Oryctolagus cuniculus: one gene and its partner. The protein of the gene in region 1 purifies or fractionates together with the protein of each later gene. This does not show direct contact. Links are inferred from orthologs where the notes say so. Each region holds a gene or a part of one and is shown on either strand. Other genes may lie near its edges. The genes, in order: TSSK6 and FKBP5.

Region 1 (4,374 bases):
TCACTGAGCGTGGCCGGCCGTTCCTCCAAGTCTTGTCCGTGGCCCGGCAGGGTGGGACGGGCAAGGCCCCGCCTCTGCGTCCCAGGGAGCGGCCGGGTCAGGGATGGCACGCTGTGACGTAAACGAACTGAGCTGGGGGAGCTGCCCGGTCATTGCTTCATTTCCGGCCTTGGCCGTCCTGCACCTGTTACTGGCTTGGGTTCCCCCTCTGCGGGGCGGGGTGACGTTCTCTGAGCCCAAGAAAGAGGCCCCGCGGCGGGGTGTGGGTGAGCGAGCGCTGCTGGGGTCCAGATCCCGTACTCCCCGGAACCTGGGAGCACCCACCCCCCAATCCCATCGTAACCAAAAAACGTCCCAGAACCTGGCCAGCAGGGGCAGGCCCCAGGGGGCATCCCAGGACCATCGCGCACCGCGAAATAAGTTAGACCAGGGCGGGCTGTCTGGGGAAGGTTGTCACCCGCATTCTTTGTGACTGAATCTTCACTATTAACGTTCCCCTCACCAGAGAGGCCGCGTGGGTGGCTGGCGTCCATTGTATGCTGAGCTTCGGACTCTAAAGGACAATAAAGGGAGGGACACGGTGTGACTGCTCCTCTCCCCCCCTCTCTCTCCGCCCCCAGCCCCGGGCTGCAGGAGGCACCTGCTGCACTGTGGGCTCCCGCAGTCCCTGCTGACCGCTTGTCCTCGGTGTTAAGGATGTGCCGGGCTTGGCCTCTGGGGCTCTCGAAGCCCAGGCTAAGGCAGAAGTTAAACCCCAAGGCTGTCCCGCTGCACCTGCCGGGCTCACCGGCTTCTCCTTGTCCCTTCTGACCCGGGCCCCTGGCTACCGAGCTCTGCACTCCCATCCATCAGCCAGCGCCGGTGGGCAGAGGGCCCCAGCCACACAGCTGGGCGTGGAGCGGGGACAGATGGGTGAAGAGGCCCCGAGGTGGGGACGGACAGACTCCAGGCCCGCAGGGTGGGGGGTGAGGACGCGGTTTAATTCGGAGCCTTCACGTCCCCTCCCAACACCCGCCCTCCCTGTGAGGGAAGTCCAGCCAGGACCAGGGCCACAGCCGTTAGCAGAGGGGAGAGCGGGGGGCGCTCGGTCCCCGGGGCTGCAGAGTGAGCAGGGCTGGGCACGGTTGGGACCGCACACAGGTGGGTTTAGGGAAAGGGGCAGTCAGCGGCTGCGAACCCACCCTGTGGGGTCCCTCTGGGTAGACCCCCGCCCCCGCCTGGCATCGCTACAGCTCGAAGCTACTTGACCTCCACGTCTTTGACCTTCCACTGGCCTCGCGGACAAGGGCAGGGTCCAGGCCTGGTCACACAGCAGGTGTTCAAGGAGCCGGCCCCTTACTCCCCCCGGGGGACCTCGGGGTCAGGGGGCCCTCGCCGAGCAGGGCTTGCTCGCCCCCGGCCCCCGGCCGGGAGCCGGACACGCGTTTCTCTCCAAACGGGGCCAGCCTCCCCTTTCCCCGCTGCGCTCCGTGAAACAGGTGCGAGGTAGAGCGAAGTTTATTGCGGGTCTCGACGGGAAACCGGGCATCCGCGGCCGCCTGGGGAGCGACGCCGTCGGCGCGCGGCCGCCCCCCCAGCAGCTCCTCCCGGACGCCGCGGGCCGGGGAGCCGTCGCTCGTTCCGCGCAGGCGCAGGCGCAGGCCGTCCATCTCGTTCTCGCCCCGCCCCTCCCGGGGCCTGGGGGCGGGGAATCGAAGGCGCGCGTGCGCTCTCCAGCTCTCGGCGTGGTGGAGGAGGGGGAGGAGCTAGCCTCGGAGGCGGGGCAGCTGCGGCCTCCGCCGTGGGAGGGGGGGACCGGGGCAGGGCGCGTGCGCCGTGGCGCGCGGCGGCGCGGCAGGAACCCGGAAGTGCGGCGGCGTCCCTTGCGCGTGCGCCGTGCCGGCCGCGACCCGGGAGGCGGGCAGGGCGGGCCCCCTGCCCTAGCCGGAGTCCCCCGACCGCAGCCAGCCGTTGCGCGCCACCTGGCCGGCCGAGGGCCTGGCCGAGGGGCTGAACTGCAGCAGCTCGGCGATGAGGGCCTTGCAGCGCTCGGACAGCTCGAGCCCGTCGGGGTACAGCACGCCGCGCTTCTGGCGCCGGGGCAGGCCGGCGATGTCCGAGTCGTCGAAGGGCATGCAGCCCGTGACCATGACGTAGAGCACCACGCCCAGGCTCCACACGTCGTACTTCTTGGGGTCGTAGGGGATGCCCAGCAGCACCTCGGGGGACGCGTAGGCGGCCGAGCCGCAGTAGGTGGTGCTGAGGTCCGGGTAGCCGTGCGCCTGGCGGCCGAAGCCGAAGTCCGTGAGCTTGACCCGGCGCTCGTCCGGGCTCAGCAGCACGTTCTCGCACTTGAGGTCGCGGTGCACCAGGTGGTGGTCGTGCAGGTAGCGCACGGCGCCCGCGATCTGCGCGAAGAGGTCGCGCGCCTGCGAGCCGGGGATGCGCCCGTTGCGCTGCACGGCCTGCAGCAGGTCGGTGGCGGCCGCCTCCATCACGATGTACAGCTTCCCGTTGCACACCTCGATGAACTCGAAGACGTGCACGATGTGCGGGTGCCGCACGCCCCGCAGGATGGACAGCTCGCGCGGCAGGAACTTGTTGACGAAGTCCGGCGGCGCTCGCCGGCGGTCCACCACCTTGATGGCCACCGTGCCCTTGTACTTCTTGGACGTGGCCACCTTCACCTTGGAGTAGCTGCCCTCTCCTATGGTGCGGCCCAGCTTATAGCCGAGTTCGCTCAGGAGTTTGTCGCCCGACATGGTGGCGCGCGGGGCGCGCGGGGAGCAGCGGGGGGCGGCCGGACTCCAATCTCGGGCCTAACCCATGGCGCTTGGCACCCGCACCCCCGCACCCCCATGTGCCCACTCCCGCGTCCCCGCCGCCGCGGGGGCCTTACATCGCCCCGGTAACAATTTCAGCCTTGTGAAGTGACCGCGGGCGTCACTCCGCCTCTCGGGGCGGGGACCGCACACACACCCCCGCCCCGCGGGGCTCCCCTGGCCCCGCACAGCCCCTCACGTGCGGCCTTGTGACTCACAATCGCCCTGCACGGCCGGCCGGTTCGGCAGAGAGGACGCCCGCCCCCCACCACCACCGGGGGGCACAGCCCCTCCCCGGACTGCCGGTGCCTCCCCGTGCGTCCGAAGCGGAGCAGCGAGCCGCCCCCGACTTCGCGTACCCCCAGCCTGTGGAGCCCTGGGCCCCGAGAGGGGGTCCAGCAGCCCGGGGCCCCGACGCCCCCCGGGGGTTCGGGGTGTCTGATTCTCCGGTGCATCGCGAGGGGCTAGCGGGCAAGGAGCCTCAGCCCCTAGGGGTCGTCTGCGTCACACCCCGTCGGCGGGAAGCTGAAATTAGGCTTCCCCGGCCGCGCCCCCCGCACCCCCCAGCCCGCCCGCGAAGTCTGGCAGCTCCACCGGCGGCGCTTCCGCCACACTCGTCATGGCGGCGCGGCCCGATGGCGTCACTTCCGCCGGCGACCGGAAGTGCGGCGTCCAGCGAGCATGGCGGCGTCGAAGGTGAAGCAGGACATGCCCCCGCCGGGGGGCTACGGCCCCATCGACTACAAGCGGAACCTGCAGCGTCGGGGACTGTCGGGTCAGTGCCGCCGTGGGCCGGGGTGGCGGGGGCGCCTCCCGGGCAGGTTCACCTAGCGCGGGGCCCAGGCTGCTGCTCGGCTCCGGGCTTGCTTCGCCCACGGCCGCGGGCGTCGGCCCATTGTGCCGCGGGTGACACTGAGGTGGGCGTAGCAGGCGGGGGTCGCGGAGACCCGGGCGAGGGCGGCAGCTCCCCGCGCGACCCCCCAGGCCTGGGCTGGGGCCGAAACGCAGAGCCCAGAGGGAGTCTGTGAAATGGCCCTGTGCGGGGCTTCCCCCACCCACCCGCGCGCAGGGCGACCGGGAATCCGAATTCGAAAGACAGACAGACAGATGGCCGCAGCCGCCGGAGCTGCGCCGATCCGAAGGCATGAGCCAGGCGCTTCTCCTGGTCTCCCATGGGGTGCAGGGCCCAAGCACTTGGGCCATCCTCCACTGCACTCCCTGGCCACAGCAGAGAGCTGCGCCCATGTGGGATGCCGGCGCCGCAGGCGGAGGATTAGCCAAGTGAGCCACGGCACTGGCCCTGTTTATTTTTAAATTAATTTTTAAAATGTATTTGAGGGGGCCTGTGTTGTTTTGCAGTGGGTTAAGCCGCTTGCTCCGCTTGCTTTGATGTGCCAGCATCCCGTTTGGGCGCCAGTTCGAGTCCCGGCTGCTCCACTTCCCATCCAGCTCTCTGCTGTGGCCTGGGAAAGCAGTGGAGGATGGCCCAAGTCCCTGGGCCCCTGCACCTGTGTGGGAGACCCGGATGGAGCTCCTGGCTTCGGATCAGCCCAGCTCCAGCCATTGCAGCTCA
Region 2 (3,804 bases), on another chromosome or scaffold:
TAAATATGTGAAGCAATTAATAAACTTTTTGACACATCAAATAGTCCATAGATTAAAAATTCTTCAATGGATGGGATTTTTTAAATAATAGTAGATGCTGTCATCTTTTTTTTTTTTTTTTTTAGATTTATTTATTTATTTGAAAGTCAGAGTTACAGAGAGACAGGGGCAGGGAGAGAGAGAGAGAGAGATATCTTCCATTCTCTGGCTCACTCCCCAAATGGATGCAATGGCTGGGGCTGGGCCAGGCCAAAGCAGGAGTTTCATCTAGGTCTCCTATTTGGGTGGCAGGGGCTTAAGCACTTGGTCCAGGCCATTAGCAGGGAGCTGGATCAGAAGTGGAGCAGCAAGGGCAGGAACCAGCACCCATATGAGACGCCAGTATTGTAAGTGGCAGCTTTACCTGCTATGCCACCATGCTAGCCCTATTCAATATGTTTATTTCAGAATGTTGAATTTTAAAAAAAGTTCTGCTTCATCCATGTATATGGAACCTAACTTTTAAGGTTTAGTTCTCTCACAGCAATACTTACTTTCCACTGTTGCTCCTTCGTTTGGGTTTGAATATCCCTCTCCCTTTCGTTTGATTCTGCGAATGATACCTGCATCTTCAAATAAATCCTCTCCTTTGAAATCAAGGAGCTCAATCTAGAAAGGAAAAAAAAAAGGGATCTGGTTGAGCAAAGACCAAACGAAGTCCATTTAGTCTTTTGCTTTACAAAATAAAACTCTGCTTTTACAAAAATGTACTTATCCCTGCATCTTAGAGTTATTGGAAAAGTAGGAGGAAAAGGACACTGCTCTTTTTACAAATGCGTAGATGGAACTTCATGTAATGATAATGTTTAGCACTACTCCTGAGAGGCTGCAGTGCAGAGACAGACAGGAAATACTAGGAACACTGCCTTGTGGGCAAAAGGCCAGAACTACAAGGACTGGCGCAGAACTATTTTGTTTGACTTTGAGGCCACCACTTTCCCACCCAATTTATGAAGTTGCCTTAGTAAAATTGAGCAACAAATCCCATGTGTCTGGCTGACAACTGATTGAAGGTGTATTTTATCTAGTTAGGGTAGCTTTTTAAATTAGGTTTTGCTAAATATGTGCAATTCAACACAAGATGAATAAAAACTCCACCTACTGCTTCTATTGAAGGGGTAAGATCTGTGACATTTATAAACCTTGATAGCATGAAAATACCTACCAACTCAGGATAGGCATATTTCCACACTTGTCTCCAGCATTTCCACCCTATCTTCAGGTCACCTTTGAGCATGCTGTACTCACACCACTAACCACAGCCTTTATTTCTAAGTCAAATGTCTTTTGTTTATTTGGATATGACCTTTCTGTGCCAGAGATACGTTTCTAAGAAAGCACTGGCACACACCCCTTCAGTTTGTGGGAAACAATTCAAGAAGCTGGGCTCCAAAATAAATAAGTTGGATTTGATTCTCCTCTCCAAACTTCACTCCTTGTTCCACTGCCTGTTGCTACAAAGAGAGCCCTATAGCACAGCAGATGCTGACAAGGCAACCTCACACACATACTTGCCTCAAAAAAGAGCGTTGCATTGGAGGGAATTTTGGGGAGACTGCCAGCAGAGCCATATGCATATTCTGGCTTGCACAGCAAGTGGCAGATCTCTCCTTTCTTCATGGTGGCCACCCCAATGTCCCATGCCTTGATAACTTGACCTGAGAAAGGAAAATGCAATTAAAATCTATCAGCCATATTTTAAAAGATTTAACTTTCATAAAACAAGAGTTCAGAAAAATTTCCAATTCTTTATGTACTCAGCTAACAAACATGAGCTAAAAGATGACAAAACTCAGCAGAAACTACACACAAAGAAATAAATTACGATTTTTTTTGGAAGGCTATCAGAGAAGATTCTCTGCTGAGTAGGATAAATGTAGCATCAATTCCTAAATTAAGATCAAGTTTTTCAAAAGTAGCAGTAACATAATCCACAAAATGTGGCTGTGTTGCAATTGTGGTTTAATTTATCATTTCAGCCTTAATACTAAATGCATGTTTTCTAGGCAAAGATGGGACAAAAATAGTATAGAAACTGGAGTTTGTTCTAAAGAAGCTGTAATTTAGTTTGGTAGACAAAAATAAGACCTTTCTGTGAAGTATACATTGTATAAAAGGAAAGTATAAATTGTATAAAAGGGTCCATGAAACAAATTTAATCTTAACATTTAGAATCAGAAAAATGTTTCTTCAAACAAATGCCTTTGTCCTTTTACCAAATCACAGTGATAGAACTCAGAATATTTAATTTTTTCCAGTTCCAGGTAACTAAAAAAGTCACATTTATTGCTTAACTGTAGAACTGTTTTTGGCTATGTAATCACAATGCCAATATTCACAGCTTTTATCATGTCCAGCATTATTCACTTTATCCTACTGCACAGTCTCTAATCCTCTAGAAAACCACAGAAAAGGGAGGCCTTTAAAACTTGAGGGGCTAAGTTAACCAAAATCTTAGGTATTCAAAGTGGGGTCAAATCAGCACCAAAGCCCTGAGGAAGTCCTTTTTTTTTTTTTTTTTTTTTTTTTTTTAAGATTTACCTAGTTATATTTGAAAAGCAGAGTTACAGAGAGAGAAAGAGAGAGAGAAATCTTCCCATTCATTGGTTCACTCCCCAAATGGCCACAATAGAAAGCTGGGCTGATCTGAAGCCAGGAACCTGGAGCTTCTTCCATGTCTCCCACATGGGTGCAGGGGCCCAAGGACTTGGATCACCTTCTACTCCTTTCCCAGACCATAGCAGAGAGCTGGATCGGAAGTGAAGCAGCCGGCACTCAAACCAGTGCCCACATGGGATTCCAGCACTGCAAGTGACGGCCTCACCTGCCAAGCCACAGTGCCGGCCCCCAAGGGAGTCAATTTTGAAGTGAGCTGTTTGCTCCCTTGGGCTGAGAGAGAGCTGACAGTCGGAGGTGTTTTACTAGGGGTAGAGCAAGCATTTGTTACTCAAGACTTCAGCTTAGTCTTTGTTAAATACTATAACTTTTAAAACTATCAGCTCCATTTATTTGAGTGAAAAATCTATGTAAATGCATGCCTCTACATGTCTATTATTAAAAGACACAGGGAAGATGCAAAGCAAAAAGTGGAAGGTCATTTGCGCCCTCCTTGTAGGAAGCCACTGTCATGCTTCTCTTTCATCTTCCTAGTGTGTGCGGTCACTTCTTTAAAAATGCAAAGCATGGAACCGGCGCTGTGGCAGCAGGTAAAGCTGCAGCCTGCAGTGCCGGCATCCCATATGGGCGCCAGTTCTAGTCCCGGCTGCTCCACTTCCAATCCAGCTCTCTGCTGTGGCCTGGGAAAGCAGTGGAAAATGGCACAATTCCCTGGACCCCTACACCAGCATGGGAGACCCAGGGGAAACTCCTGGCTTCTGACTTCAGATCAGCATAGCTCCAGCCATTGCGGCCATCTAGGGAGTAAACCAGCGGACAGAAGACTCTCTCTCTCTCTGCCTCTCTGTAACTCTGCCTTTCAAATAAATAAATAAATCTTAAAACAAACAAACAAAAATGAGTGCCAAAGCATATACTACACATGTTAAAAAAATGTAAAACACAAATAACAGCATCTCACATTTTCGAGTTTGAATTGCTTTTTCATTTAATAGGCATCTTGGACTTCTTTCTTCATCAGTAGAAATGAGGCTATGCATTTTAGAAGTTAAAAGTCAGCCTGTTCTAATTCCCAGGTCACCTGGACTTGAGTCTCAGGTCTGTACTTTACTGGCTGAGTGGCCTTGTGCAAGCTATTTAACCCCTGTG

The links.
Region 2: the proteins of TSSK6 (region 1) and FKBP5 purify together in Homo sapiens (affinity purification with mass spectrometry; 4 studies listed by BioGRID and IntAct, with this or other methods). This does not show direct contact. The link is inferred for Oryctolagus cuniculus from reciprocal best matches to the Homo sapiens genes TSSK6 and FKBP5.

The regions. Positions count from the first base shown.
Region 1 is NC_091447.1:66,227,171-66,231,544, forward strand, and holds the start of TSSK6 (testis-specific serine/threonine-protein kinase 6), read right to left. Parts: upstream 2,908-4,374; 5' UTR 2,742-2,907; coding exon 1,920-2,741; 3' UTR 1-1,919. Other genes in the region: YJEFN3 (yjeF N-terminal domain-containing protein 3), read left to right, coding at 3,437-3,576. UniProt on the Homo sapiens protein: Serine/threonine-protein kinase component of the sperm flagellar doublet microtubules. May act as a regulator of sperm motility by mediating phosphorylation of sperm doublet microtubule proteins.
Region 2 is NC_091436.1:133,852,642-133,856,445, reverse strand, and holds part of FKBP5 (peptidyl-prolyl cis-trans isomerase FKBP5), read right to left. Parts: exon of another isoform or gene 3,132-3,804; intron 1,698-3,131; coding exon 1,555-1,697; intron 649-1,554; coding exon 534-648; intron 1-533. UniProt on the Homo sapiens protein: Immunophilin protein with PPIase and co-chaperone activities. Component of unligated steroid receptors heterocomplexes through interaction with heat-shock protein 90 (HSP90).